Linked DNA regions of Lepisosteus oculatus. The protein of the gene in region 2 interacts with the protein of the main gene of each other region in a biochemical or structural test. Links are inferred from orthologs where the notes say so. Each region holds a gene or a part of one and is shown on either strand. Other genes may lie near its edges.

Region 1 (15,775 bases), on a different chromosome or scaffold from region 2:
GAAGGGGAGAAAGAGAGAGAGCCGGGCATTAACGAGGGTGCACACGAAACAAAGGCAGGCCTGTGCGGCGACCCTGAAGATCTGGTTCAGCCGCCGCTCCGGAAGGATTCTGGGAAATCAGGAGGATCGAGACGAACAGGTTTGTGAGGAAGGAAGGCGGGAGCAATGCAGAGCCCCGAGCCCTGTGCCTTGATCACATGACGCTGGCACGCCGCACCGACAGAGAGATGTGGATGTGCAAGCGCAGACACACGGGTCTGCTCTGCTCAGGGCTGTATTGACAACACACTGCCTGTAGGTGGCAGCAAAGCCCGATCGCTCAGCCCCCCTGTGCGATCAGCATCTAGAACGCCTGGGATACAGCAGCCCCTCTTCAGAGAGGGACTCTGTGGCCTCAGCCCAGCCGGATTTACCCATCCCTCTGCGGAACCAGTGCCAACGAACGACCATTAGCTCAGTTACCTCTTTAAGAGCCGAGGTTCAATGGCATAGTGTGGTTTCTGCACACCTCGAGTCAAAACTCTGTTTCACCCAGGGCCCTGAAGGGTGAAATGGATTAAGAGGATATAGATATTCCAAGCCTAGTTGAAGCTGTTTTAAGGCCGCTGTGCCACGGTCACAAGCCCCCCTCGGAGCTGTGTACCTCTCCCTGCAAAATACTGCAAGCTTGAAGGCTCCTGGCAGACCACAGGGTGGCACTGTTACCCTTCCATAACAACCTGCACACCTACCCAGCCAGCTAGGGAATCCTGGCCACAGCACACAGGAAGAAACCCAGCTTCACCCCATCGAAGACGAACGGGCCGCCAAACAGAAAATGAGGTCTGTACTGCTGTATCCTTGAACACGGGCACTGACAGCTCCCGTCCGCCACTCTGAAGACCAACTGCAACCGACGCCCACCTCACTCACAGCAAGCTCGGAGCAAAACCTGGACCGGATCACACTGCAGCACAGCGGGAGTCTGGACCCCTATCCCCCTGCGGTTTCTGCTTGTGTACGCCAGGCACACGTCATGCACTGGCCTGGGCACGGCTTCTCTCCCGCACCATCACTCAGTCCAGTTCACTGTCATACGCACAAGTGCCATGGAATGCTTATTGGCATGTGTGCTCCAATACAAAGACATTAAGGAAACACCAACAACGTAAACACAGAACAGTGGTAGCAACAACAACAACAACAACGTTAAATAACATACAGTTCAGGAAATAAACATCTGTGTGAGCCAGCGGCGGGGGTAGAGTTCAGTAATCCAACAGTCTGTGGGAGGAAACTGTCTCTGAATCTGGAAGTTTGTGCCTTTATGCTCCTATAACGCTTCCCAGAGGGAAGGGGGGAGAAAAATGAGAAAGCAATATGACTGATATCCTTAGCGATACTTCCAGCCTTCCTGAGACAGCGAGTCGTAAACATGATCGCAATAGAGGGGAGCTGTACCCCAGTGATGGACTGGGCTGACCTGATCACCCCCTGTAACGTCTTCCGCTCCGTTGAGCTGCTGCCAAACCCCACTGTAATACCACACATGAGCACATCCTCAGCAGCGCACCTGGAAAATGTGGTAAGGCTGGTGGTCTCCGGTCAAGCCACGGGGACACCTCCCTGGCACGCCCCTTCATTTGTCCACCGGTCTCCCCATCACTGTTGCCAACGCTGTCGCTCTTTAACTCTTTCACTTCCACTGCATCTCTCTCTCCCCAGCCTGCTGAGGGGCTTCCTGGTCAGCAGGACACAGGCCAACAAGCACTGCACATCCTTGTAAGCAGGCTTGGCTTTTATAGGCCGGTTCTGAAAATGGCTGCAAAACCCAGCAAAGGTCTCGGGAACTGAGGAACTGAAGAACAGAACCGGGCTCTGGCTCCGACCCGCGCTGCACCCCGCGAGGACGGGTCAAAGAGCAGGCGAGACCGGAGCGCCCCCAGGAGGCGAGAGAGAACGGAAATCAGGGTTGTGGGGGGGGGCTGGACTCCCGACGCGGAGAAAGAGGAATTAAGGGACAGGAAAGGAGGGGAGGGGCCGGGCGAAGCCAAGCGCTCGAAGAATGAACCCTGAAGCGATCTGCCCGTCGGCCGCGGGGGCCCCTGCCAGCCGAGAGGCGCCGCATTCCGCGCATCGCGGGGGCGATTTTCTGCTCCACATGCACACAATGGAGCTCCCCCACACACACACACCTCCGACCCGCGGGGGGGCACTGGAGCGGCCGCTCCTGACCAGAGGGGGGGGGGGGAACAGAGGCGGCACAATTCAATGCGACTTGGTCTCCTTCCGCCAATACAGATCACGATCCCAACTGTTTTACCGATTAGACAGCTTAACTGGTATTAACTTGGCAAAGGCTTTTAAACAGAACTGACAGGGATTGGAATGACTGGATGTTACTGCCTACTAACTGGAGTCCACTTACACATCTGTGAAGAGTCCCATCAAGGTACAGCTGTCTCCCTGCTGGAGTACCAGCTGCCTTGCCACCCTGCACCAGGCCGGACTGGTCCACATCACCCTGTTCACAGCTGTGGACTGGCCTCCTAAAACCCTTCATTTCAGCTTGGCTGCAACGTGGGCGTATGCACACCGTCCTGAGGGTTTCAGAAACCGACCAAAGTGCTGTTGGGAAAGACCACTGGTTGTCACCTACACTGTGTGACCCGAGAGGAGAAGCCACTGGGAATGTAGAGAGTACAGGGAAGGAGAAGAAAGAGCTGGGCAGAGGGAGGGGCAGAGGGGAGGCTCACAGGCAGGAGGAATGCCAGCAGAGCTCTGTTATCACTGCCTGGAAACTCAGAGTTCTGATAAGACAGGACACTCTGGACTGGGAGAGGGAAGGAGTGGAAGAGAGGAATGTAAGTAGCTTTATTGGCATAACTGGTGAATCAGAGCATTGCCAAAGCAATAACAATTCGTTTTTTCTGACATACTCCCAGACTACAAGAGGAAAGGGACAGCAGTGTCTCCAGTCCAGTCAGGGGTGTGTCACTGTGTGAATTCAGGGGCAGTGTGAGAGGAGAGGGACAGCAGTGTCTCTAGCAGTGTCTCCGGTCCAGTCAGGTGTGTGAATTCAGGGGGAGTGTGAAAGGAGAGGGACAGCAGTGTCAGTGACAATGTCCTGAGATGATCAAACATCCAGTAAACAGGAGAGGAATCCCCCAAACAGAGCACACAGTTTAAACACTGATTAGTTCGGGAACTGAAGAGTTAATCTTATTCCAGACGCCCGACAGGGAGAAACACTCACATTAGTCACTGCACTAAGGCTTCCTGGCCTCAAGTCACCTTGACCCAGAAAGACTGTAAATATTTGAGCGCCTAGTGCTGTTCCTGCAGTGCAAAGGTGCTGGAGTGACATCATGGGAAAAGAATTTGAACAGATACGCGTGGCGCAACAGAAGCAGGGAACATATTTTTGGCCGAACAGCACCAGTGGGTGACACCCTCTACCCCCTTACTCCAGGAGCACTGCAGGTAGGCCTCCCCAGAGTGGCCCAGACCGATCTCGCTGTAACAGAGGAGCCCGATCCCGTTGAGGTTAGGACCTTACAATCCAGACGCAATCCGCGTTTGGAAAGAATGCGGAATTTCAGTGACTAACTGAGCCACTGCGCTGCTGACCTCTCTCCCAGCTCAGGGAGAGTGATTTGTTAACGGCGCAGTTAATAACAAACCAGGCTGACAGTGAAGCTGCTCAGGGCAGCTCGGACTACGCTACAAGCTCAGCAATCCCCAACCCAGCCGACAGTGAGGCCCGATTGGTCACAGTCAAGTCGGCGAGCTAAGCCCAGTCTCCTCCTCAATCCTGAGTGAGGATCTGATTTTCGGATCGATGACCCTATCAGACTGTGCTCCTCTCCCGGAGTCTCCCCCCTTACAACCACCCTTTCTCTCTATCCCATTCCAAACTCCCCATCCCTCCCGGGAAGACGTGGCTCCAAACTTCAACAAGATTCCAACTCAGCTCAGGGCTGCGGTGCTGAATTCCGTTTTCCAGTAGCCACACAGGATACTGCTCCCCAGAGGCCCGAAGTGTTTGCTGACCTGTCAGCTCAGCGCCTCCTGACAGTCGTGCCGTGGTGCTGAAGATGAAAGCCACAGGCAAAGGGATTATGAGGACTGCATCACGCCAGGTCATGGCGCAAGGAGACTAGAGAACTAGGGTGCAAGGGGAGAGAGGGAGATCGGCACCCCAGCAAAACTCTCCTGGATCGAACGCCTCAGGCAGAGGAAGGAAAATTCTACGCGGTTTTGGTGGCCAATAGCGATCAGACACCACAATGCATTGCGAGAAAAAAACACTGTCTCAGCTTCAACACAGAAACGCACTTTTCACAAGTCATCTGGGTAAGTTTCCAGTTCCAAATGCGCGCTACACTTACATTCATGTCAAACTGTATTTTTCTTGTTTAGATGATTCTAGGTTTATTCATTCATATTTCATCAATATTAATTGGACATTTACAGAGGACACAGGTCCCAACACTGGTCCTGGAGGAACGCTGTCTTCGGATTTAAATGTTCTGTTTGGGGCCTATTTGAAACTATGCCATCAGCTCTCAAAGAGACATGTGGGATTGGTACAGGGTCCCTCCTGTGTGGGCGTGTCTGATGGAGTCCCCCCCCCCCGGTACCCCATACAACTGGCCAGCGCTGTTCAGTCAGGAATAAGGGCCAGCAGGTGAAGGAGGGAGGCTGCACAGGGCTCTGTGTGCTGCAGCAGCTGGAAACAGCTTGCTTGAGGCGGGGGATGACTGACACTCAGGACTGACCCAAGAGAGGAGTAAACGGAAGGCTAAAGGAGACAACAGATCGATTAAAGTCATCAATCAGCACCGGGAGACGCAGAGCTCAGCTGGATTGAAAACCAGCAGACCGTGCTTCACGAGGACCAGATTCGGAAACCACTGCATTAGAGCACAAACAACGCTCCCTACCTCTAGCTACGCGATGACTTCTACCCCGAGCTGGAAACTGTTCTTACCCTGAGCGACTGCTAGCGACGACCCATGCCGACACATCCTGGGACCCAGCGGAGGGATTTTCTGGAGCCAGCTGGGTTCGGGAGCTGTATGAACGAGCCACGGCTAGCGAAGAGCTAGTGAACATGTCATTAGCGACCTGAACGACCTCGCCGGGCGGGCTGGCCCATTTTCAAGCGGCAGCTCATCTGTGGGACTGGAAGACACAGCTAGCAGGCGTCCCCAGTTCTAGGCTCAGGGCACACAGAGAGCGCGATTCCCGGGGAGGGGGGAGCTGGTGGCAGCTGGTGGGTGATGTGGGAAGAGGGAAGGGGGATGACAGAGATCCGTGGGATCATTTCCAGCGATTCAGATCTCCTGCTTTCTTCAAGTTGTTTCAGGAATTTGAGAAACAGGAGGATTTCAGGGTGACCTGTAAGGTCTGTTAGACTGGGATTCCCCAGGGACCCCTGGGTGACAGACTGGTGATTTCAGTGTGACCCGTGGGACCTGCTGGACTGGATCCGTGGGAGGCCCAGGTGATCCGGGCAGTCCCTGCAGCTAGCCCGGGGGGGGGAGTCCCGGCTTCTGCACAGGCTCCCAGCAGGGGTGCGAGGAGGCTGTCCACCGGCTGCCTGAGCCCCTCTTTCCCTGCACCCCGCTGGGCATCAGCCTTCAATGCCCATCTGAGCGGCCTGGGAGGGGGTGCCGCCCTTTAACCCCTATAGCTGAGGGGCTCCTGGGGACCACTGTGGGCTGCAGCAGGTCATCACCACGACCATGTGGGTGGGATGCACAGTGCGTGCCCTAGGGCCGTCTCTTCTCGTGCGGGCGTGTGGACGTACTACACTCATCTCTTCCCCAGATACAGCACTGCAGCATCTCAATCATGAGCAGGATGGCACAAACTCCAGACCGGGAGGGGGAGACTCATCCCAGCAGGTCTGCTCAGCGAGAGCAGGAGTCAAGAATCGACGCTGCGGGGCACCAGGGCCCAGGTGCTCCCAACAAGACCAGAGAGGAGCGATTTCAGCCCCTGTCCCCGGCAGCTCAGGGCCGGTTTTTGTCCAACAACAGCAGCAGGTATGAAGAAACCAGCAGCCGGCGGCCAGCCTCCTCGCACCCCCGCTGGGAGCCTGTGCAGAAGCCGGGACTCCCCCCCCCAGGGCTGAATGCAGGCACTGCCCGGATCACCTGGGCCTCCCATGGATCAAGTCCAGCAGGTCCCACGGGTCACGCTGAAATCACCAGTCTGTCACCCAGGGGTCCCTGGGGAATCCCAGTCTAACAGACCTTGCAGGTCACCCTGAAATCCTCCGTTTCTCAAATTCCTGAAACAACCTGACGAAAGCAGGAGATCTGAATCACTGGAAATGAAGAGCCCAAAACAAGCCTGTTGGTTTCCAGGAAGACCGCTGGCCTGTTAAGGAACGTCTCTGGCCCCGAGGGGACTGGGCTGGGGACCCCAGTGAGGGTGAACCCAGCCCGCAGCCGCAGCTCCAGCTTTCCTCAGGCCCTGTGGTTTAAGGTCGACGCAGTGCGTGATCACGGACCAGCGGCCTTTCGGGACACGGGCGGGCGGCTACACTGGACAGGAGGCGTCGCTGGACACTCGCTCAGCAGCCTCCACTGCGCCCAGCGGCTGCCAGAGCTCTTGCAAGACCCAGCAAAGCAAACTTCCATTCTGAAGAGCCCCAGCCGCTGGTGTCGGGTTCAACACAAAAACCCTGAGCGGATCAGACTGCTGTGCACCTGGAGTCAGAGACCGGCGACGCCGTAAAACCCCGAGCGGATCAGACTGCTGTGCACCTGGAGTCAGAGACCAGCGACGCTGTAAAACCCCGAGCGGATCAGACTGCTGTGCACCTGGAGTCAGAGACCGGCGACGCCGTAAAACCCCGAGCGGATCAGACTGCTGTGCACCTGGAGTCAGAGACCGGTGACACTATAAAACCCCGAGCGGATCAGACTGCTGTGCACCTGGAGTCACTGACTGACACCACCACTAAACCATAAGGAGAGCAGACCAGACTGCTACGCTACACATCAGTAACAATACCATGCAACCTGGAGCACATCAGCGTGTTGCGGACTGGGAAATCCTATCGTCAGCACTGTAAAACCCTGGAGTGGACCAGACTGCTATTAGAATCCAAGTGCCATGCCCTCTAAATTATTTTTTTTTTCCTTTTTACCAAAACCCCTAAAGGAGACCAGAAACCACAAGACTGGCACCACCACAAAACACACACACGGATGATTTTTTCCCCGTTTCCAAGGCTAAGACGACCCTCTCCCCCCCCCCCGCCCCACAGACATGATCCCTCTACCCGACCGCCCCACGGCGCGACCCCAGCGCGCAGGGCAGCCGTGGGAACACGCCACGACAGGCAAAGCGCCCTTAAGACGAGCCGGCTGCCCCACGACCAACATCGGAGATCCGAGCGCCCCCAGCGGGCCGGCTGCTGCCGTTTCCCCCCCGCTTGCGCAACAGAAACCGGCGGTCGCCTTCACCCGAAACCCGCCTGTTGCTCCAGAAAACCCGTCCTTCCCGGGGAACAGGCGGCGGGGGCGCCGCGGAAACGACTTGAATTTTAAAAAAAGGAAAAGCCTTCGGACTGGTTGTTTTTTTTTTTGTGCCTTCAGACAGGCGACATCTCCACCCGCGGCGGAGCTCCGAGCGCAGAGCAGGACGGGCGCTGAGACGCGCGGGGGGGCGGTCGGTTCTCGCCAGCCCACCTGGACAGGAGACATGTACCCACACACACACACACACACGCAGGTACCGAGAGAAACTAGCTAAGAAAGGGCTCCCGTGTGTGTGGAAGTGCGGGCGAGCCTGGGTCTTTGGGGGGGGGTCTCGGGCAGGTGGAACGAGAAGAAACGAACCTAATTCGTGTTTGATTTGGGTTAAGAGCGCAGCAGAGCTCGGCGATGTGGTGTTAAACGGCAGGGACTCGCTGCAGTGGTGTGTGTGTGTGGTGTGGTGTGCAGTGGTGTGTGTGTGTGATCCGTGTTCACTCCTCCGCCGCCGCCGCCTGTAGCGCACAGGTAGACTCGCTCCCGCAACGACGCACCTGCGTGTGAGCTAGGAACTGTGGCCAAACCGCCCAGAAAGCCTTACTTATTCCCCGTTTGCTCGTCTTTCTCGTCTTCCCTCGACTCCGGGGAAGACCGGACCGAGTCTTGAGCCCGGGTCCGACCCAGCGGACAGCCCGACCCGGGGTTCACTCACCTGCCGATCGAAGTCACCGATCCGCTCCTCCTTCGAAGAGAAGAGATGTCTTTTACGGTGGGTCCCTTGCTATAAGCGACGTTATAAGCGTTTTTCTTGCGGTATCTTTTCTCTCTTGTCGTTGTTTTCAAGTCTCATTAAAAAAAAAATAAAAAAACAAACCCTCGGCGACACAGCTCCGTCATTCAACCTGTTACCCTCCGCGACTGATACCTTTTCTTAGGGATGAGTCCCACCCACCACTTCTCTGTAGGCGCTGAATGATTGGCTGTTTACCGGACAAAGAGGCGGAATCCTAAGTTATTTCATTAATGTTATTGGATAGAATGCGCTGTCAATCTCCTTTCTGCCTGTAATATCAGGTCCAATTGGATTAATGGGCCGTCTGTTAACTATTAAGAACGCCCCCGGCCGCATGTGATTGGTCGAAAGGCTTTGTTATTGTTAACGCAGCAGAACAAAGTTTCACAACTTCTCTTTTCAGCGTAAAGTCTTTGCAGAACAATTAATAGTAACATTCATTTTTTTTTACCGTGCAATTCAGTATTCACTGTGTGACTCTGTGTCAGAGCTTTTTGTATGTATTTATTTTGTATGTAGTGTAATGTCAGTAGCTACATCACCCTGCAGCTCCCAGCTGGCAGCCCACTGGAGCTCAGCAGGTGTGAGCCTGGTCAGTACCTGGATGGGAGATTTCTGGGAAAAACTAAGGCTGCTGCTGCTGGAAGAGGTGTTAGATGGGCCAGTAGGGGGGCGCTCACCCTGCGATCTGTGACTCTCTGTGGTCGTTTTTAGGGCGTTTCTCTAAAGGAGTTGGGGCGTTACCCCCGATGTTCTGGCCAAATTTCCCCCTGGCCTTTACCATCATGGCCTCCAATCCCAATCCCTGTCTCTGAACTGGCTTCATCCCTCTGCTCTCCTCCCCACTGAGAGCTGGTGTGTGGGGATAGTGGCTCCCGGGAAAATCGGCCCTGCTGTGAGTGTGTGTGTCTGCCCTGTGATGGACTGGCATCCTGTCCAGGGTGTAGCCTGCCCTGCACCCTTCCCTTGCCCTGACAGACTCTGGGTCCCTCTCGGTCCTGTAGTGTGGAGGAAGAATCATTATAAAATGGATGGATAACTCACTGGACTGGACCTGTGCAATACAGTGGTTGCAGGCACCTGCCCTGCTAAATGTAGTATATATGTAGTGTCTGTAGTTCAGGTGGGGAGCTGCGTCAGCGGGCGTAGGCTGCAAAGGAACAAGTAATAGGTTTATTCCATGCTGAAAAAAAGAAGAAAGAGAACGGCCGAAACGTTGTGTTCTCTTTCTTCTTTTTTTCAGCATGGAATAAACCTATTACTTGTTCATATGTAGTGCCTTGCTTGTGGGTGGAATAGTGCCCTCACACACACACACAGCAGATGGGAAACATAAGGAACTCGTGTAATTTTTATTGAACAAAATCATGATTGAAAGAGGCAACCACGTAAATGCTAGCAGGCCGAAGATGCAAAAGCAACGGCGCATTTTCAAAGCGTGTAAAAAGAGATCAGCCGTCAGTTCAGAACTCCGCGGACAGAATAAAGAGGGTGCCGAGCTCGGCAATCCCACGAGGTGGCGCCGTTTAGCTTGGAAAAACAACGTGAAGCCAGTCCGAGACCGGGAATTGTGTATTTTTATTACGCACTCGCCTTTTTCTCTTTTCTCTTCTGCTTTTGAGGGACACTGCTCCTGGGAACGTGCTCGCTAGTTCATCTGTAGCTCTGTTAGTAAATTATGCTGCTCCCCACTGTTTTACTGAAGAGAAATTCCAGAAACGCAAATGTCAGACGAGCGAACGGCAGCTCAACTGCCGGCTCGTCCATGAAAACCCTCCTTTCGCGTTTGGAGAGTCGGCCTGCAGCGCCCCCGTCAGGAATTCCACGTCACCGGGCTCACAGCCCCCCTCTCTCCTCGCAATGTGCTCACTTCCTCAGCGAGACGAAGATACGCTTCTAGGAATTAGTTCTTCTGTCTCACGAAGGGCTGCGGACCAGGGCGAGACCGTGACTCGTCAAGAAAAAGCCCCAGTCTCGAGAGGGGGAGGGGGGAGAGTCCCGCACCGCTCCCCAGCATCGCGCACACTTCCAAAGCTCAGCTTGCGAAGTCTACTTCATTCTCCTTCATTTCAGCCCGCGTTAAAACTAAAGATTGCTGCACGAAAAGAAATGACAAAACAACACGAATTACATATAATATACTCAGAATTGGTCGAAAACCTTCTTTACACTTGTGCTTTACTTGGATCTCACTGGGCTGTACTGCACTGTACTGTGCTCTTACCCTGATCGCACTGGGCTTGACCGCACTTTACTGTGCTTTTACCCTGATCTCACTGGGCTTTACCGCACTACACTGTGCTTTTACCCTGATCTCACTGGGCTTTACCGCACTACACTGTGCTTTTACCCTGATCTCACTGGGCTGTACTGCACTGTACTGTGCTCTTACCCTGATCTCACTGGGCTTGACCGCACTTTACTGTGCTTTTACCCTGATCTCACTGGGCTTTACCGCACTGCACTGTGCTTTTACCCTGATCTCACTGGGCTGTACTGCACTGTACTGTGCTCTTACCCTGATCTCACTGGGCTTGACCGCACTTTACTGTGCTTTTACCCTGATCTCACTGGGCTTTACCGCACTGCACTGTGCTTTTACCCTGATCTCACTGGGCTGTACTGCACTGCACTGTGCTTTTACCCTGATCTCACTGGGCTTTACTGTACTGTGCTTTTACCCTGATCTCACTGTACCTTTAGCTTAATTTACTTGGCTTTTTACTGCACTTCATCAATATCTCACTGAGCCGTTCTTCTCCAGTGTTCCGTCACAGCCAGTGTTTTCAGAAGTGTTCTACCTGTGTCAGAGCAGGCGGCGCGCCAGAATCGGAACCGGCCCGGCCCGGCCCGGCCCGCCGCCGTCAGTCCAGGATCTCCTTGATGCACCAGCAGCACAGCAGGAAGTACAGGCACTCCTTGAGCGACTGGAGCAGCCCGTAGGAGAAGTTGGCTCCCAGCAGGTTCTTGTTGCGGCCGAAGCCCAGGGCCATGTCGCGGAGGGTGTGGCCCACGGAGGAGGGCGCGGCCTGGGGGACGGGGCGCTGGGGCTGCATGGGGCAGCGCTGTGGAGGCCGGGCGGGAGCAGAGGGCTCTGTAGCTCCTGGCGCTTTCTCTCCCTTCGCTCGCAGGGAAGTTTAGTTGTCTTCCTCCTTCTCGACCCGGCTTACCTCCCGTCGTTTTTATCGATCCGGCCCGGTTTTGTACTCTTCCTCTCTCTCTCTCGGGACCAAGTGGAAATCGCTGGCGTGCCCGGCGCTCAGTGCCTGTTTATGTCTCCCTCGCCCACCCCTGTGCGGGGACCCCAGTGCACCTCCCCTCCCCCTGCTGAGCTCATCTTTTTCTGCCCCTCCAGCTCTTTGTGCTCGCCCCTCTGGAAGGGTCCCGGCTCGTCCACATCGCTCTCGCCGTGTGAAGCGGCGCTGCTGACCCGCACACGTGGCGTGTCAGGCCCCGCCGTCTCTCTTTACAAACACAAATCCTGCTCGCTCCGTTTCTCTGGCAGGCTGAGCACAAGCGAGTGCACACTCCCCCCTCCCTTCCCTGAACCAGCACCCCTGTCCCTCTCTCTCTCCAGCAGGCTCTCCTGCCTTCCCCGGTTTTCTGTGGACCACACCTTCTCAACTCTGCTTCCTCTCCCACTCCCCTGTTCTCGACCACCTGCCCCCCTCTTCCTCCGTGGACTCCCACCCATCTCACTCAACCCTTACCCAGCTCTCTCCCTTAACCCACCTCTCTTAACCCTTACCCAGCTCTCTCCCTTAACCCACCTGTCTCCCTTAACCCAGCTCTACTGACCCTTACCCACCTGTCTCCCTGGCCTGGCCCCAGCAGTCAGTTCTTAACCACACAGGCACAGAATCAACATACCACACCTTGAGACAGTGATCAAAGCAGGAAATACAAGAAATTATATTTCAAACCAAATCCACCAATAAAGGTAAAAGACATGTATAATGCATATATATATAATATATATATAGATATAGATGTAAACGTTTTATCCCCCAACATTAACAGAAAGTGTACAAAAAAAACCTCAGTGACTGAGCTTTGGTTTATAACAATAATACAGATAATCTGAAACAAGCAGGATTTATCGTACAGGTGCAAAGAGAGACGCAGAGGAACAGGAGAGAGGAGACTGCCTCTGTGCGCAGGTTCTCTGAAACATAAGCAATGGCCGGAGATGAGGGAGAGTGTCGAGGACTGGGAACGAGGGGGCCGGGTTCGAAGGTGGAATGATCCTCGCTCACTCTCTCAGGGGCTGCCCAAATACTGCCTGGAGGACCCCCCCTAAATGCCCTGATATTGTGCCTGTGCAGGATAGGACAAAATCTAACATTAGCACACAAACAAACCCCTCTGCCACCAGTTCAGTGTCTCACTTTGTCCAGACTCGGACAGACACAGGAACTGCCCAAACCGTCGGAGTATTACTACTACGCATAACGCCCAAACGTCCGTGCTGATCTTCGGAAAGACCCAGCTGGCTGTGCTGCTTTAGGGACTTTATAACTGAAAAAATAAACACAATCAAAAAAAGATTTTTCCAAACTCACATTTTGGCTCCCGGATCTCAAGGGAAGCCTGCAGGGGCCGCTGAGGGCCGCAGAGGCCACTCGAGAGGCGAGCCGGGACAACGGAGGCCGAGGAGCTCGTGGTCACATACTTCTGGTCACTCCCCCAGTGCCCTTCCCCCTCCCTTTGACTTTTGACAACTTCTTTGTATGCTGTTCTGTTCTTTGTGTGTTCTGGACCGTGAGTAACTCTTCATAGTGCACTTCTCACTGTACTGATTGTACTGTATTATTATTATTGTATCATTAGTAACACTGTTCCTGTGTTGTCTGTGTTAAGCTGCTGTTGCACTGCAATTTCCCTCACGGGATCAATAAAGTATCTATCTTCAATCCCATCACCCAGCCCCGCAGCTGGGCGCTGCCCACCTCCCAGTCTGTTGCGACTGAAGCAGTCCCCGCTTTTTCATAACACAGCTGACAATATTCTAAAAAAATCACACACGTTCAACTCTGCACACAGCACGACTGCCAAGAAACCTGCTATTGAGGGATGGGAGAGTGGGAGCATAATGCAACGGATCGGGATTGATCATTTGGAAAAGATGCAGGGGCTGCTGGATTAAGTTTGAGTAAACTGGTGAACCAGACTGAGGACTGGACCTAGTGTGTCTGGTGCTAAAACTGTTCTTTGTTGTAAAGGCTGTTTTGAGCATCGCCAATCAAGTTCCGCCCACACAGGAAGTGGGAGGTGGCTCCAGCTGTGGGACAGAGCAGCATGATTGGCCAAGAGCCACCAGCTGTGTTCCAGACTCCTCCCCCTTTTCCTCCTGGCACTCCCCCAGCACCTCAATAGCCATTAAAAAGAAGCTCCCCCAATGCTGTAACATTTGTCTAGATCTTGTATATATATTTTGTTAAAGTTAAAATAATTTGCATATGAGGTGGGTTGGGCCATAAAAAATTACTGGCCCAAAAGGCACATTAAGAGAAAAGAAAAATTCAAAATCTGAGAAGAGGAGTCAAGTCCCGTGGTTTCTGTCATCCCTCTCTCCTCTCAGTTTCTAAGAAACTGCATGTACACCACAAAACTGAAACTGTATCATTTATATTATACTCTATGCATATCTCCCTACGATATGTGTTTGCACAAGGGTTTATAAAGGATTGTTCATGATTATTTTAATTACTGATTGTCTTGATTGATGGGTTTTCCTGTGGTTTTCTTTGACTGATTGCTCAGAAGCCAGGCAGTGTAAGGCTTTCTCTTCCACAAGCGTCATGTGGCCCCCACCATACACGACTGACCCACAGACCACCTACATCTCTCATGAGAAGGTGTCCTTCAGATAAGTTAGTTTTAGACCACTTCAAAGACTTGATTCCCAGAGCTGGAGTGGACTACAGCTCCCATCAGCCCAACCAAAAGCTTATGGGTGGCGTAGGTCCATTAAGGGAGAGATGGCAAAAGTCCAAATCACGGGCTGAAGAGGCAGCCACAGTCTGGAGCCAAGCCAAAGCCACTGCAGGATGTTCCGACAGATGAATCCATAAGGGAACACCCAGATTCATGGTAAGGTTCCATGGCGGGAGAGGCCAGGGGAAAACCGATCAGGATAGGGACAGGAAAAAAACAACCAATAAACCGCAATTCCCAGAATGCACTAGGACTACTGGCACAGTGCAGCACCTTTGTTGAGCTGTCAACCTCACCGAAGACCCTGCCACCTCACAATCCCATTTCTTCCCGTCACTGACATGGCTCTCAAAAGACAGACCATCCCCTTCCCAGGAAGAATCTCACTAATAAACCTCCCCAACCCCTCCTAACAAAGACAGGATCGAGTACCGAACACGCCCTCCAATTCCTCCACCCATCCCTTCCACAGTCCTCATCCGGAGGGCTGCTACCCAGCTGTGCTCAGAAGGTGCGGCGAGTTCTACGGGCTGTATGGGAGGCCAGCGCGCAGAATGAGTCTCTCCGTTTCTGCCCCAGGTTGGAATAATTATGGAGCTGTCCTGAGGGCTCACAATCCTCTGCTTCGTCACGGACAGGGCGGCTTGGCAAGAATCCGTGTCTTTGGGTATAGACACCGCTCCCTAAGGTGCTGTGGACCCCCCAGAAATTCTCCTCTTGGGGTTGCCGATATGGATGATTGAGGATTCACTGGGGGCTGCCCAGTGACCCGCTTGACAGGGGGGGATGATCCCTGAATCTTTAATCCCAGTGCAGCTGTGTATTTTATTTTGAACACACACGGCTCCGATACGATGTCTGTGGGAAGACTGCTGGGTAGGAGGGATTGTATCCTGACCCTCTGGCCTGGCAGGGATACGCTTGCCGGTGGAGCTGGAACCTGAAGACAAACCGAGAGGGGTGCAGATACTGTGCTGTAGCACCCTCTTCCCCCCCCCCCCCCAATATTTATTATCCCCGGATAACACCCCCTGGATGATTTCCAACACATTCACTCCAGAATGTTTCCTGCTTCAGCCGAGCCTGCATTCCGACGCCCTCACTCCTCCCAGGTTTCCAGGAGCACGAGGAGGTTTTGCGTCCGGCGTTTCCAAGGATGTGCAGAAGCTGCGGTGTCCCAGGGTTACTGATGGAGATCTCAAACCTTCACGCCGCTGGGCGCGTGCCCCATTACTGCACCCCTATAAAGCGAGGGGGTACACACCCCACGGGAGGGCAGGAGGAAACCTGGAGTGCCCTCTTCGCTTAATTCATACAGTCCACATAGCGCAGAGCTCATTCCGCTGAGACACGCCCTGGGAATTCACCGAGCAGAGGGTGGGGGGGGGGGGTCTATGAACCCCAAATTGTTTCAGTAAGGCTCTGTTGGGGTGTCCAAGGACTAAGGCAAGTCCAGAGACGCGGGCTGGTGTGGGACATGCTGGGACCGGAGGAGCACTTTGGAACGGAATAGTTCCTGCGCTGGCTGTAGCTGCACTTTTTTTACAAAGTACCCCAAACTGCTCTTAGGGCG
Region 2 (15,273 bases):
CACATTTTCTGAAGAACTGGATTTAACTTCTCTAACCGTCTTAGAATGTCTTGCTCCTGTTTATAAAAAGAAACCTTAAAATATTTATGCGGAATTAAAAGTCAGATACTACAGATTTCCCTAAGAAACTAGGATTAAGCAGCTGTCAGGAATTTTTCGCCAAGTGTATTTAAAAAGGCTTAAGAATTTTTAATTTGATGAATTTGGCCCTCTAAGCGGTGTGTTTTGAGCGACGTGGTAGCGGAGTGGTTAGCACTGTTGGCTTGCAGGGCTGGGGGCCCTGTGTTCAATTCCAGATCTGGGTTGCTGTCTGTGTGGAGGTTGTATGTTCTCCCTGTGTTTGTGTGGGTTTCCTCTGGGTGCTCTGGATTACTTCCATACTCCAAAAACATACAGGTAGGTTAATTGGCTTCTGGGAAAATTGTTGCTGCTGTGCGATTGGATACACCATCCTATCTGGGGTGTATCCTGCCTTGCGCCTATTGCTTGCCAGGATAGGCTCTGGCTCCCCTGCAACCCTGAACAGGATGAAATGGGTGAAAGTGGAGTGTTTAATGGCACCTTCAGTCTCTATGAATTGCCACAGAGAAGTCTATACCAGTTATAAATCCTGGACCATACGTTCAATAAACACACTGTTCACACTTATTGTTCTAGAATGCAGGCAGGGGACTCTTGCGCAATATTTGTATGGAATCTAGACCCTTGATAAAAAGGGAGTGTTGTGAAAGAATTCAGAACGTATTTTTCCTCAGGAAATAATACTCGAGTATGATTCACTCCTCTTGAAAGTCCTCCAAATCACGTGGGGTTTATTCACTTATTCACTGGTGCTTCGCATTTGTTGTGTTTAATGCTGGGGCTTTGTGTTTTTTCTTTTAAACTTTTCTGGATGTTTTTGTTTGTACTGCTGTTACAACACTTTAGGACATCTTACAAAACCCTCATGTCTGATTGTACAAATGGAAGCCTGAAAATAAATGTGGCGATGAATCTTGTACTGCATGCCCTTTCCCGAGAATACTGAACAGCTCATCGTTAATGCGTAGTAAAAAATGAGGAAAGTCGCATCTACTAAGGTGTCCAGACGCTGAGGGTGAGATATTGCTAGTAGTAGTACTGAGAAGCACGAATAGTGCCGATTCCGAGTCGCGACAGGTTTTCAGTTTGGGATTTAAGGAAATTTGCATATAGCTGGTCAAACAGGCTCTACCAGGAAAATCAGCAGTCGAACCTCCAGGCCTCGCCCTCAAAGCAATGAGAGTTAAATTTCAGAGTGGAAGACGACTGTTTTTTTAAGTTATTTTGAAAGAGTAAAGGTACTCAAACGTCTTTAAAGGACGTTTAGACTTTTTGGTAACGAAAATAACACCTGCTGCAAATGTGGTTTGACGGCACGTTAGGAAAATGTTCCCTATGGGCTCCCTACAAACTATTCGATTTGCATGTGGGGTTAGTTACGTGTCCAACATAATCCTGTGTTGTTTTAATCTGTGTTGCTTTATGGCCGTTTAAACTCCCCATGAAGCTCTTTCGTAACAAAGCAAGTGAAACTAGCTGAGTGGGAACAGGATGCTATAAAAACTGGCATGAGGCTGTGCGTAAAGCTCACCTTTACTGTAGTTTCAATGACACGCCCAGAGCTGACTTGTAGGGACATTGCAAGGGTTCAGTGCCATTCGGGAGAGTGTTGCACCGTTGTAGAAAAAGTTGGATTCATATTGCACTGATAGCGGGATTTATTGTGAAGGGGGACATTTGACTCGGTTCCTGTACAATTCTGCGTTACCACCTGCTGTTTGAAAAAAAAAACCCGGTATGTTTTGTTGTTTGTTTGCTTTTAAATTTACATTAAATTTCGTTGAACAAGACATGAACCTGAATGTGACAATCTCTTCGCCCCTCCCTGCTCCTTCTCTTAATCGTCTCGGGGTCTAAGTTCTTCTACGGCTTCTGTGATCTTTGATTTTGTGTGCGTGATTTATACTAATCAGTCTACAAATACTAAAGTCTGTATTAAAAGACTGATCTACAGTATGGCAAAACACGGAACAGGTAGGTTTATTCCACGCTGAATGGAAAGAAAAGAACGTTTCGGCTGTGGAGCCATCTTCAGGCGACACCTTTCTTCTCTTTTCAGCATTGAATAAACCCTTTACCTTTACTGGTTTTATCAATATGGGTTTTGTGGTTGTCGTTGATGTTTTTACTTCTGACGTCCTTTTCGTGTACAGTATTAGAGATCGATAAGGGCCATCTGGATTTTGTGTCTTGATTATTGTAATGATTGCAATGATGCAAATAAATTTCACTACTGACCATGTACAGTAAATGTATCAATTATCTGTAATTTCCAGAGTTTTCCTTCGATTGAGAACACTCTGTTTTCCATGTTTGCGGAAGTAACCTCTCAGTCGAAGTTCCATAGAAAGTTATCAACATGCGTATTCATTTACTTGATTCCCTGTTCCTGGTTTCAGGACAGCCGTTTGTATTGAGGCAGAGTTGCATAATGTAGTGTTTATTAATTATTGTATGTATGTATATTCAATTATAAATTGAGAGACTAACAATTGTAATTCTATATTTTGCTAAAAATCCTTTTTTTCTGGGAAATGGAAGTTTCCATTAAACATGAACACTTTCTATGTGTAACGAAATAGGGAGAAAAGTCTTTGTTGTGAAAACGTCAGTATTAGCCAGATCCATTGTTTTCGTTGGAGATCACGTTTTCGAAAATACTCAAGCAACACGTGAGATAGTGGCTGGGGCTTTTCAGGCATGATTAATCATGGTTTATATTGGGTGGGTATGGATTAAACACCAACGAAAAAAAGCCCAATCTTTGGAAGAGCATAATGACAAGGATGTAGAATTGTTACAAACGAGAGAGAGCCATTCGACCCATCTAGCACAGGTGCAGGTGTGAAGATTCAGATTATGTCCAACTGTAAAATTGCAAAAACAATATACACAGGCAACGTATATCTGTCCAGGGTGAGCAGCAACAAGGAGAAGCAGGTCCTGATGAAGTACAGGTTCTGTGACCACATTTTGGGCATAGAAACCTGACAACACAGGCAAGCCTACCTACCCAGAGGGGACAGGCTAAGTGACCAGAGCCAGGACATAGAAACTGGACACAGACAGACCTGACTGCCCAGAGAGGACAGGCTCGCTGACCACAGTCTGGCCATAGAAACTGGATGACACAGTCAGACCTGCCTGTCCAAAGACAACAGACTCCCACTGACAGCAGGGAGAATCAGAGACAGAGTTGTACTCTCTGCTGCAGTGCATTAAATACTCTGGGATTAGACATCATTCTTCCCTAAAACAACAAATCCAATCCCAGACTTCCTGCAACTGTCAGATACACAAGAACCTCCATTCTTGCGGGAGGGGATTTGAAAATCAATAAAGCTAGTGGCCCAATATGTGATCTCCTGTCACAGCCTGAGGGACAGATAGTGAACCATATTATAATAATATGTTTTTTTTGTTGTAAATATCTTAGTAATTGTTATTTCTGTGGTAATTGCTTTGTAATTCACCAGTCATGCCAAACAAGTTTGTTGAATCTGAATAACGTTCTGTGCTAACCTAAAAGTTCTAGCCTTCATCCTCAGGATCTAAGATTGTAAGGACATACAGTATGATATATGTTAGAGCTTAAAAAGATAAATTTGTGTGGCTTTTTAACCAGAAAAAGAAATTACCTCCTTCATGAAATATATGTGCTGAGCCTCTTTCAAATGAGAGCAGAGTGACAGTGTTGGCTCTGATTTATGTGTGTCACCCTGTGGTCCATGTGGGTCCTAATGCCCCAGTATAGTGATGGGGACACTATACTGTAAACAAGCGCCATCCTTTGGATGAGATGTAAAACTGAGGTCCTGACTCTCTGTGGCCATTAAAAATCCCAGGGTGTTTCTTGAAAAGAGTAGGGGTGTAACCCTGGTGTCCTGGCCACATTTTGGCCATTACCAATCATGGCCTCCTAATAATCCCCATCTATGAACTGGCTTCATTACTCTGCTCTCCTCCCCACTGATAGCTGATGTGTGGTGAGCTTTCTGGCACACTATGGCTGCTGTCGCATCATCCAGGTGGGGCTGCACATTGGTGGTGGTGGAGGGGAGACCCCATTACCTGTAAAGCGCTTTGAGTGGTGTGTCCAGAAAAGCGCTATATAAATGTAAGCAATTTATTATTATTATTATTATTATTATTATTATTATTATTATTATTATTATTATTATTATAGGTCTTTATGCAGTTGTGTGCAAAAGGCTGGGCACCCCTGGTCAAATTGTATGTTTCAGTGAATCTCTCAAGTTAAAAGATGTTGACACAACCTCTGTGTTGTACCAACGTAAACATCTTTCTGCAAATTGTAATGCACAAATGGTATTTATCAGATTGAAAAATTAAAAATGTGAATGTGGCATGTGTAAACGTTTGGGCACCATGTCCGTCAGTACTTTGTAACACCTTCAATGGCAGAAATCACAGCTTCCAAACATTTCTTGTAGCCAGCAAAGAGTCTTTCCATTCTAACTTTTGGAATTTGTCCCGCTTTTCCTTGCAGAACTCTTCTAGCTCAGAAATATTCTGAGGTCTTCTTGCATGCACTGCATGTTTAAGATCTCCCCACCGATTTTCAGTAATATTCAAGGTGGGGGGCGATGAAGGCCATTCCAAAACCTTAATCTTTTTTCCTGTAGGTACTGCATGGTTGATTTTGAGGTATGTTTTGGATCGTTTTCTTGCTGAAATATCCAGATTCTTTTCAGCTTCAATTTCTTCAGTGACTCTGGGACATTAGATTCTAGGATTGGGTGATATTTAGTTGAATCCATTCTTCCTTCCGCCCATACTGTCACGTCCTCTGCAGCCAGAGGGCGCTCCTTCTCTGTCTTGTCTCTCATTTCCGGTTCTCTGCTGTCCTTCCGGTGTTTCTCTCTCTCTCTTGGACTATATATTTCCGGGTCTTTCAGTCTGCCTTTGCTCAGCATTGACGTTCGGATGTCCTGAGACCCGCCTAGCACCAGGTCGCCCCAAGTCCGCTACCTGAGGGCCTAGGTTTCTATACGGCATTTCCTGAACAGCTGAGCCCGGGCTAACCCCCGTCTCGCCGCTACGCTTAGGGTCTGCTTGCTTTCCTGCCATTCTACGGTTCATCACTTCCGACATCTGTGACACATACAGTATTTCCTGTGCCACTGGCTGCCACACAGCCTCAGAGCATAACAAATCCACCCCCAAACTTAAGAGCTGGCTAGGTTTTTTTTCCTTCAAATGCTTCATCCATTTTTCTCCAAATGTACCTTCTGTGATCATGGCCAAAAAATTAAATTTTCATTTCATCAGTCAACAGCGCTTTGTTCCAAAAGGTTTCTGGCTTATCAAGATTTTGTATTGTATACTTCAGACGTTGACTTTTGTGATGAAGTCATAGGAATGGTTTCCTTCTGAACACTCTCCCATGCAGATCATTTTTGTGTAAGCAACGCTGTACTGTGGACCAATGGACAACTGCTCCAGTGGCAGCTAAACGTTTCTGCAGGTCCTTTGCATTGATCTGTGGGTTCTGCTTTGCATATCTGACCCAGATTGTTCTGAGTCTTCCAGATCTTGCCTTGACTACAACAGTTCCCTTTAACTTCCATTTCTTAATGATTTCTAATAATGTTTCTAACAGTTGAAATTGCAAGCTGGAAGCATTTAGCAACCTTTTTATAGCCTTCACGTGCTTTAAAAGAGTCAGTTATCTTTATTTTGTATGAGCCCATAGTTGTTGAAAGTTGGCAGAACAACAATCACAACCTGAGAGGTTAGAAGAATCAGAGTATTTGTTCAACTGACTTAATTTAAGGCCTAATGAGTCAGTCAGGTTTAGGGACCTTTGAAAAACACAAATTAAAAAAGTAGTCATTAATCAGCTGGGAAAATGTCCAATCATTTGCGCAAGCCAAATTAACTTTTTTATCTTTTTCAATATGTTAAATTCAGCAAATAAATAGTAATTGTTCATTCAAGTTTGGAGAAAGATGTCATTTTTACATTTGTGCCATGTAGGTTATCAACTTGGTTTTACTTAGAGATTCACTGAAAATATACAATTTCAGTAGTAATTGTGATTTTACAATGCATGTTTCATATTAAATCTGAGTAATGTGAGTGAAAAGAATGCTGCTTATATTAAAATTTTAAAAGGCTAGATATCAAAACATTCCCTTGGTACCTACAAATTTAATAGCCCTGTAGTCAGTGGTTATATTGTGTGACCGATGGCTTCAATTACACAGTCTGCTTCAGCTGAACTCCTTTTTATGGACATTAATGATGGATACTGTTGTCATTATACAGTATGAGAAGTGGGATTTCCTATTGTAGTAAGGAGAATGGGTTATCTGTGAAAATACAGTGGTATATAAAGATCTAGTCACACTTGTTAACATTAAAGTACAAATGTTTTAGACTGGCATATTACAACAAAAAAAAAATATTTAGATGTACAAGTGATAAGGCACAACAGTAAAAGTACCATATGATCTTTGAACATATCAGATCTTGAAGTAAATGCATCTGTAAAAGCAGGGGAAATACTGTAGGTTATATGTGATTCAGGAAAAAAAAACAGGTAATCAGTTGTTAAAGAATGCAAACTGTGGAACTTAAGGATTTTGTAGCACTTCCAGGTTCACGTGGGTCTCAGGTCGGCCTTCTACTGCTGGGGCTCGAACCTGGGCCTCTGGCGTCACTCAGCAGGGAACCAGCCAGCTGAGCTAAAGGAAAATCTTTATATATTCACAGGGAAGGGCGGTGACATCACCACGCTGGCAAGTCGGCTCGCACAACCTGTAATGTCGGCCGTATGCGTTACAATATGAACATATATAGATTACATTATACCAATGATGGGAATATCTAGTAGGACATCAGTGGGTATAGTCCAAGATTCCAATTATAAAAATATGCAAAGGATGTGCTACGTACTAGATGTTACATGAGCACATTGTGTAAATTCTTTGACCGTACTTTATGCTGTGAAGAGTCGGTAGCTGATTTGTTTTTATATGGGGATAAAAAAGGCTGATATTTACTCTGCGCTATGTTGGGAAGCTGGGAAGCTATTAGGATGATGCTCTTTGGATCCATCAAGATTCTCTGCCACCAATTCTGGTGTCACTTTGTGTATTTTATCATTTAGCATTAAGATTAAGCTGGACTCATTGAGTTCTCAGTAAAGAGGATACTTAATGCTAAAGAGAAGTTTTTCTAGAGGGATTTTATTCTTACACTATATGTAAAATACTTTAATCTATCTACTATATACTTACAGTATATCTATATGTATCCACTATACTTATACTTTGATCATTTTGCAAAGTCTTTCTGTGTACATGAACTGAAAGGGAGATCTCTGACCTTCTTCAATCTGGTTTTCCACCTCAGTATGCAGTATGCATAATTCACATTTATATGTAGTATTCATGCCCTGTGATGGACTGGCATCCCATCCAGGGTGTGTCCTGCCTTGCACCCGCTGCTTGCTGGGATAGTCTCGAGCTCCCCCGTGACCCTGTATAGGATAAAGTGGTTAGAGAATGGATGGGTGTAGCTTTCATGATGTTTTGTGGGGTGGGCCTCTGGAAAGTCTGCTGTAGAATGATCTACCACTCTGCACAGCCTCAGAGAGCAGGCAAAGACTTGCCACTCATGGATGTGTCCTGTTGATGCCGTCGATTGGCCAGCCTCCACCAGCTGTACAGAAGGAGTGGCCAGTCTTCGCAAGGTCAGCCAGGCCCTACAGATATTCAAAGTCCGTTCCTTGATAGGCCTATTAGAAAATCAGACATTTCAGATCATCTTATGGGTACAGAAACCTGTTGGCTGGAGGATGTCAGTGTGCAGCTGTGCAAGAAGGTTGTATTGAATCTGCACCAAGTCTCAAGAGGTTCGCCCCACATTAAGACTCTGCCCTCCCAGTTGGCTTGAACAGTCAGCACTATGCAAGTCAACTTGGAATCTCCACCTGCATTCCACTTACATGCAGGTTATTCCTAGAATTTCTTCCACTGTTCTCTGCAGGCAACAACAAGATTTTGGTAACATGATGACCAATGCCAGATACAGTATTCTAAGCGATGTCTTACAGCACGTTTGAGTGTGGCTTAAAGCTTTAGCATACTTTTTATATTAAGTAGGAAGTGTTAGTTTGGCTTAGTTGAAAGTGTTAATGTTCAAGCAAAGGACTTCCAGTTTTTAAGAACAGCAGCGAAAACATCATTATCTTGGAGTTGGTACAGATGTCACATTTCTAATCAGATGTCAATAAACTGTATCAGCCATAAAGAGTGCAATAATTGAAGTAGAACCTATGTTATCTATATATGTAAATAGTAAATGTAATTCAAAATCATTTATCGAAATTATGACATGGATCCTTTCTTTTAGAAGTCATCATTATAAGTGACAGTATATTTATCTCTTCCTGTCTGGTCTCCAGAAAGAAGTATGTCTGGTATTTTTAACAGCTATGACTGTAAAGTTTGCTGTTGCTGGTGTGTTCCAGTAATTCCATTCAGTTATGTGTGAGAAATGCTTGGAGATGCAGACTTTTGAAAGAAGAATTACCAAAGGTTTCCAAGTTAAAGAGTTCAACTGTGATTTTCCTGACTGATGCTTTCTCAATATTATCAGGATTATCTGACAGCAATGTCTGATGTTGTTTATATTGGTGGTAGGTGGACGCACAGATCTTATTGCTAGCTGAAAATTAGACTTTTCAAAAAGTGTTCCATGACATGATAGACTGTACAGAATAAGCATGTAGTCTGTGCAAAAAACTGTTTTATTTGTTGTGCTAATTATTGTGTATTTAATGGTTAGTTAAATTGTGTTTATTTTATCGTTCTTTGGCACTAAAATCCCTGGGTTTATAATAGAAGCCGCACAGAAGGACGTAATCCATTCGTGCAAGCTGCCGGCACATAATTTCATTTTCCAAAGCTGCATTCCCCTGATATGCTGCCCTGCTGCTCTTCCAAGAGATTATTTTTAAAAGAAATTCTGGGTACCCCCTTTTGGCTTCAAACGCACAGACTTTGACATGGCCGCCTCTAAATTAAAGCAGTGTCGGGGTGATTTTGGGAATCAACAGCAGTTTTTGGGGGGTTAATGTTCCAAGGAATGGTTCAGATTTATCTTTTGGGTTTTATTGGGGATTATGGGGAATGTGGGAATTTACATTATCTGTCAGGGCTTAGTACCACAATTATCCCCCTGGAGCATTTTCATTAGTGTAATGTTTGAAGATCCTTAGAATTATGTAAGAATGACGCTCATGAGATTCAGAAAGCAAATTCTCGATTTGTCAACCAAAGAGTTTTCTTTTGCTCCGAAAAATATCAGTTTAACTAAATGGACCTCTTGCAACCTACATAGTTGCTGGACGGCACATAGTGTAGTCCTGTAGTGTACAAAATGAAGTACAAAAAATATCTAACTATAATGCAAGCAGCTATGGGCATTGCCCCACTGAATAAACGCGAACTTCTTCCTCAGAGTCGGAACTACAGCCTCTGGAAACAAGCAGGGTGAGTGTGGAAACAGTTTTTGCTGGAATGGGTTGAAAGTTATGAGTTTGTTAGGCAGGAATGAGAATTTCAAAAACAAAATGGGCATTCAGAGCAAAATGTTAATTAACAAACAATCTTTTTATGATTAATGTTTTTTGTTGAAGATGAACGGTGTGGCAGTGTGAGAGTTAAGGTGGGTACACAGTTTAATACCAGTTGTGCTAGAGAAGATGAAGCATTTAGGAAAGATCAACACTACAGCAGCCACAGCTATCACAGCTATGCAGTGTAATGCAGTGTTATTTGGTGCTGGGAAAGCATTATGTTTAGGGTGCTTTGCAGGAAAAGTGTTGTTAAGCCCTGCTTTGTAAAACTATAGTGTGCCAAGGTTCTAGATGTTAATTTTATTTTCATGTTATTACCTTGATCAAATTATATGATGATTAAACACAGCATATTTCAATATTCTGTTGTTTTGCTTTTAAAAAGAAAAGCTAAAATGTTTTCCAAAATAGTTCACATGTAGTATTGTGGCAGGTACTGTGTTTTAACGGCTATGTTAAATAATTATGTCTTTATACATTGTGAGGAACTGAGGCAAGGACAAACAGTGAGAAACATATCAGACTGGTCCCAATTGTCTGAATACAGCTGGGTTGGAGAAATGTTCTGGGGGCATTTTTTCAACCACTAAGCTGCCTGAGATTTTGTCTCCCAGTGGCTGGCCGAGACACTTTCTGTGTCTAATTGGCTGTCTCGTGCAGCATGCGACCGTTGTCAGTTTGCGGATGGTGTGTGGTGGCTTTCACTAGCACGCACCTGCACTGGCTTCACAGCAGCTCTCTCCTTGCAGTGAGAGCAGCATTCTGCTGAGGCAGACTGGAATACTGATACCAGACATTACTTGTGAGCAAAGACAAAGACACCAACACTTGACTTCACAAGTGCTAAAGTCAAGACACCTTCTTTTTACTTAACAGCCGCAATGCAGCTGAGGATCCTTTGCATCTTCAAGGAGCTATTAAACATAGCAAGCAATATATGCTTCTTTTGCACTGAAAAGAAGGAAGACCCGTCTCTCCGGCATAGATGCATAAGGTGAAATGGAGTAACTTCTGTAGATGAGGGGTTTGAAATAGGATGGCGTAGCTGTATGCATGCTTTCACTTTGCCCGTTTGAATGCCAGCTGTTTTCGTCTTGTGTTTATTGAAGATGGCTTTATGCCTCTGGTTTATCTGCATGGTCTTCTGAAGACAGGGATTGTGTTTATCGCTCCGATAACAGAGTTGGTTGTTTCTCTGATGCCTGTGTCTGCAGACACTAGCCTGCATGTCTGCAGCAGCTTCATCTTGCTCAGTGCAGGAAGGGCACCACAGGATGAAGTTAGGAAGGGAATAGGCAATTTACAGAGTATTTCCAGCACAATTGATTCTCCAGGCAGGACTGAGTCGGGTGCCATAGACATTGTCTATGGAATGGGTGCTGTTGTTTTTGTGTTTTTTTTTTATAATTTAGACTGCCTTCTGTTGTTTAAACTCAAATCATTAATGTCATTGTCACCTGATGACAATGGTAACATAGTATGTTACTCAAAGCTTAACTGCATCTGTTTTATAAGGAAACGTCATTTGTATCAGAATGTTTAATAGATTAATACCATCAATGATCCATTTTTATTTTTCAAAGAACAAAATGTCATTTTTTATATTTTTGAGGTGGTTCCAGTTCAAAATATTTCATACAGTGAATATTTGTGTTCCTAGGGTAATTATTAACTAAATTCTGTCTGCACTAATTTAAAGTACTACGCCAATACACTGTATAATTTAGTGTAAGAATATATGTGAATGTGTTGTAGATGGTATTATTAATATTTGTAAGATTCTATATAGAGTCGTTTAGCTCACGTGTGAATAATACCCAGTTTGGTTCTTTAAAAAATACAACAAAAAATTCAGAGTTTGCAAATTGTAAAAGAAACAACATTAACCACTCTTTTAACCACAGTCTTTTAACTAGAAACTTCTCAGCAGATAGAAGAAGTTGATTTTCTATAAAGCTTTTAAGGCAGAGTAACACATTTATTTTCTGTCACATCTGTGGTATCCAGTCTAGGCAAAATTTGATAAATGATTTGTATTTCGTATTTTGTCTAGAATTAATAATTATTCATAAAGTAACAGTGGAAAGCATTGATCTCCCTGTCTAATATCCTGCGTAGCTGGGAGAGGCTCAGGCAAGGACTGTTGTCTGTCTGTATGACTTGAAAAAGAAAATGACGTGAACTCATATATTCCCAATAACATTGTTATAGCAGGCATATTTAAAGGTAACATGACATAACATGTGAGTAATGATTAGAATGCTCACCCTAAATTAGTGAAATTCTGACCAATGTAAATCCATTAAAATTAGTTTAAAACAGAATTGGTCACATACTCTTTATTTTGTATACTTACACTTTATTAAATCAACATTCAGACACCAAGTAGTCCTTAGGAAGGATATAAAAAGCTTGGTAATGTCTCATCTTTTATCTCCAATTGGCAATAAATGTGACAATGCAACACCCAGGAGGAAGCCCAAGTCCTAATTTTACATCAAAGCATAAACGTATGATTATTCCTTATTTGCTAAAAATACGTATGAGTCCTCTTTTGATAGAAATAATTGAATTGGTATAGAAATTCTAAAGTAGTCTTATCCAACCTTATGATGTATAGAAAAAGGGAACAGCCCACAATATATCTTATGTGATTATGAAACAACTGTATGGGCAAAATGACTATTAATGCTAATTAGTACAAATCCCCTTACATACATTGTATATTACCCTCATAGTGGATAATTAAGAAAATAGCTCATGAAAATAATATAAGGTTTAGTATTTAAGCTATTATGTCTTATGTATTAGTATGAAGAGGAAGGATCTAGAATGTGTTTCTTCTAAAGATTATACCTCTCTGGAAGCTTCTCTTCTCAGTGCCTGCATAACTAAGAAAGGGGACTGCACAATGAGCTGCAGTAAAATGTACAGCTAGTGGGAAACTTAAATTACAAGATCTTTTATAACTACAGTTTTCAGCTATTCTTTGTTTTTAGTACCTTTTTGTTCTTAATGCATAGTCCTTTCACATATGCTGTAAATACGAAGTTAAACAGCTAACTCACTTTGCTGTAGATGAAATGAATTCTTTCATAGAATTTGTCTTGTATGCGGATGTATAAAAGAGTCACATTTGACCTTACTATAACAGTGAGCCCCCACTCACTTTGCTACTGTAGTTTCCATCTGGTGAAGGTGCTAAGACATTTTCAGAAAAAAATGACAAATCTCTCTTGACCCAAAGATTCCTTAAGATTTTGGCCACCATTATGAACCACAAAGCAGGCATTCAGTAATAATTGTGGCAATTATCTTCTAACAACTTGGTATATCTATTTCTAAATATGAGATTATCTGTTTTCTTTTTTGGTTTGATTTATAAAAGTCCTGCTCTTTTTTCATTACAGATTCTTCAACTTGAATATTTTCATCCTTTTCGTTCCTTTCATTTCCCAGGAATTCCATTTAAAATCAGATTCTGATTCTCTCTTGCAAATACTTTTCAATCCACATATTTGTGTGAACTATTTTTGACAGTGACAGTGGATGAAAGTGATATGCTCTTTAAGACGTATTTGGTTTCTTTGGGTCTCTTGTACAAATTTAGATTTTTAACAACCCCATATAATCAAAATTGTATTCTCTCTGAAGTACACAAGAAACCGTTTGTTCCCTATTCAATCGGTATATTAAATGCAGCTAAGTGACTGTTTCTTGTATGGACCTATCGGATTATGTGTAATGGTAGGGTGATATGGGCAGAGAAAAGATGTCTGTATACAGTATGTATTGTAACACGTCTAAGACTATTGTTTATTTCTTAAGTGTATTTATTTTATTATTTTTTTGTAGGTTTGTATGGTGATGCCAAAGACACATTTCCAAATGCGTTGGGTTGGACAAGAAAGATATATCGTAAACTTATTTAAATCTATATAGTTTACCAGAACTCAACATACTTCATGAACAGTCCTCCCCCAAAGGGAAAATAACATTCAGGAAAAAAGTAGTACCAAAATAAAATATTGATTCCTCTTCCCAAACACCAGCATAAAGATCAGAATATATTGGTGCTACACAGAACGCATGGCAGTACAGTTAGATTTGAAGAAGAAAATAGGGCAAGGAGACATAAAATAATGGTAGGTCAGAACACATTCTAACAATATGCATGTTATCAAAACAGAATCTTGTTTACGGAGAAATGTTCCAGAGCCTAGACATTTTCAACATGAGGAATATAGTGTAAAGGCTGTCTATATTTAAACAGTAAGAATAAATTTATCTGACATAATATCACATTGTATTATACAATCTTGTCAAGATTTTATCACAGATAAACTCTGCCATTGCTCTTATCAGTGATATCTCGATGAAGACTCTTGATTTTGATCATGGTCATTTGTCATGTAATTATATGTAGGTTGCTAGCATATATCAAGTTAATAAATCTTTTATCTCTCTTTTTAAAACAAGGTCTGGATATCAGGCAAATCCTTTTGTAGTCGTTCAACAATAAGAGGCATTAAATGTAACACTTATTTGGTGTTAAGAACGCTAATTTAATCACCCCAATTCAGTGTGTGAATTTTGTTTATCTCACTTGAACACCTATTAGCGTGGACGTAGAACTCCACCTGGGCAAAAAACATCACATGTTCCGTGGAAGAATCTACAGATCTCCTATAGATCTAAAAATGTGAATAGTTGTTATATGTGGAATAGAAACTTCTAAGTCCTTATATTCAAGACTTTTTATGAATTCACATCATATAACTAAAGGAAACATCAAGGGAACTTTAAATCTCTCACTAATTGCTTAACAAATCTCAGTGGATAGCTGCTTGGCTACAAATGACCAAGTAAAGGTTAATTACAAGCTGAAAGGTAGAATGAAAGCACAATATTTCAGATGTTAATCCTCTTTCAGGTGTGATAAATTGTGTATACCAGGTCCACATTTCTTTGTTTCTTTCTATACTGTACAGGTCATTTAAAGTCTGCATGTCTAGCAGTTTACTTATGGCCACTGAATTTTTTCCTAAGGCCGGGACTCTAATCTTAAACTAGTGTGGTTGAAAGGAGCATTGTGATTTTTATACATTAGAAGAACAGTAGCTTGTCTGAGTGTTCCCAAGTGGCTCAAGTGCTAAACACTATGCAGGTTGAGTTCTTCGGTCTAGACATCATTAATTCACAAGTCATACCACAAGTCAGCTGTGTCCAGTGACTGGGATTCCAATACACTTACTCCAAGGGTTGGGGCTTAGAGCATTCAGCCAGGATTCCCACCAAAAGCATCAACCCCTGTGCTTGCTGGTTTGTGGTGATGTCATTGATTGGCGTGCCTTTCCTCCAATCAGCACTTGTCTTCTTGTACATCATTGCAGGGCTTGGAGCATGTCAAAAGATGATTGGCTTGATTAATAATTCCAGATTGAGTGAGTAGTTAAATTATTTGTGATTCTAAGTTTATTTAAAAAAGGTAATACCTTGAGATATGGGTGTGGCACAGTGATGCAGTGGTTAGCATTGCTGCCTTGCGGCACTGGGGCCCTGGGTTCAAGTTTGTATGTTTT

What was found.
Region 1: the proteins of tjp2b (region 2) and cingulin-like form a complex in vitro, tested with the Homo sapiens proteins (2 studies listed by BioGRID and IntAct, with this or other methods). The link is inferred for Lepisosteus oculatus from reciprocal best matches to the Homo sapiens genes TJP2 and CGN.

What each region holds. Positions count from the first base shown.
Region 1 is NC_090722.1:5,544,367-5,560,141, reverse strand, and holds the start of cingulin-like, read right to left. Parts: upstream 8,410-15,775; 5' UTR 8,185-8,409; intron 1-8,184. Other genes in the region: lenep (lens epithelial cell protein LEP503), read right to left, coding at 11,130-11,321. UniProt on the Homo sapiens protein: Probably plays a role in the formation and regulation of the tight junction (TJ) paracellular permeability barrier.
Region 2 is NC_090698.1:57,828,937-57,844,209, forward strand, and holds the start of tjp2b (tight junction protein ZO-2b), read left to right. Parts: upstream 1-9,441; 5' UTR 9,442-9,492; coding exon 9,493-9,605; intron 9,606-10,451; exon of another isoform or gene 10,452-10,572; coding exon of another isoform or gene 10,573-10,685; intron 10,686-15,273. UniProt on the Homo sapiens protein: Plays a role in tight junctions and adherens junctions. Acts as a positive regulator of RANKL-induced osteoclast differentiation, potentially via mediating downstream transcriptional activity.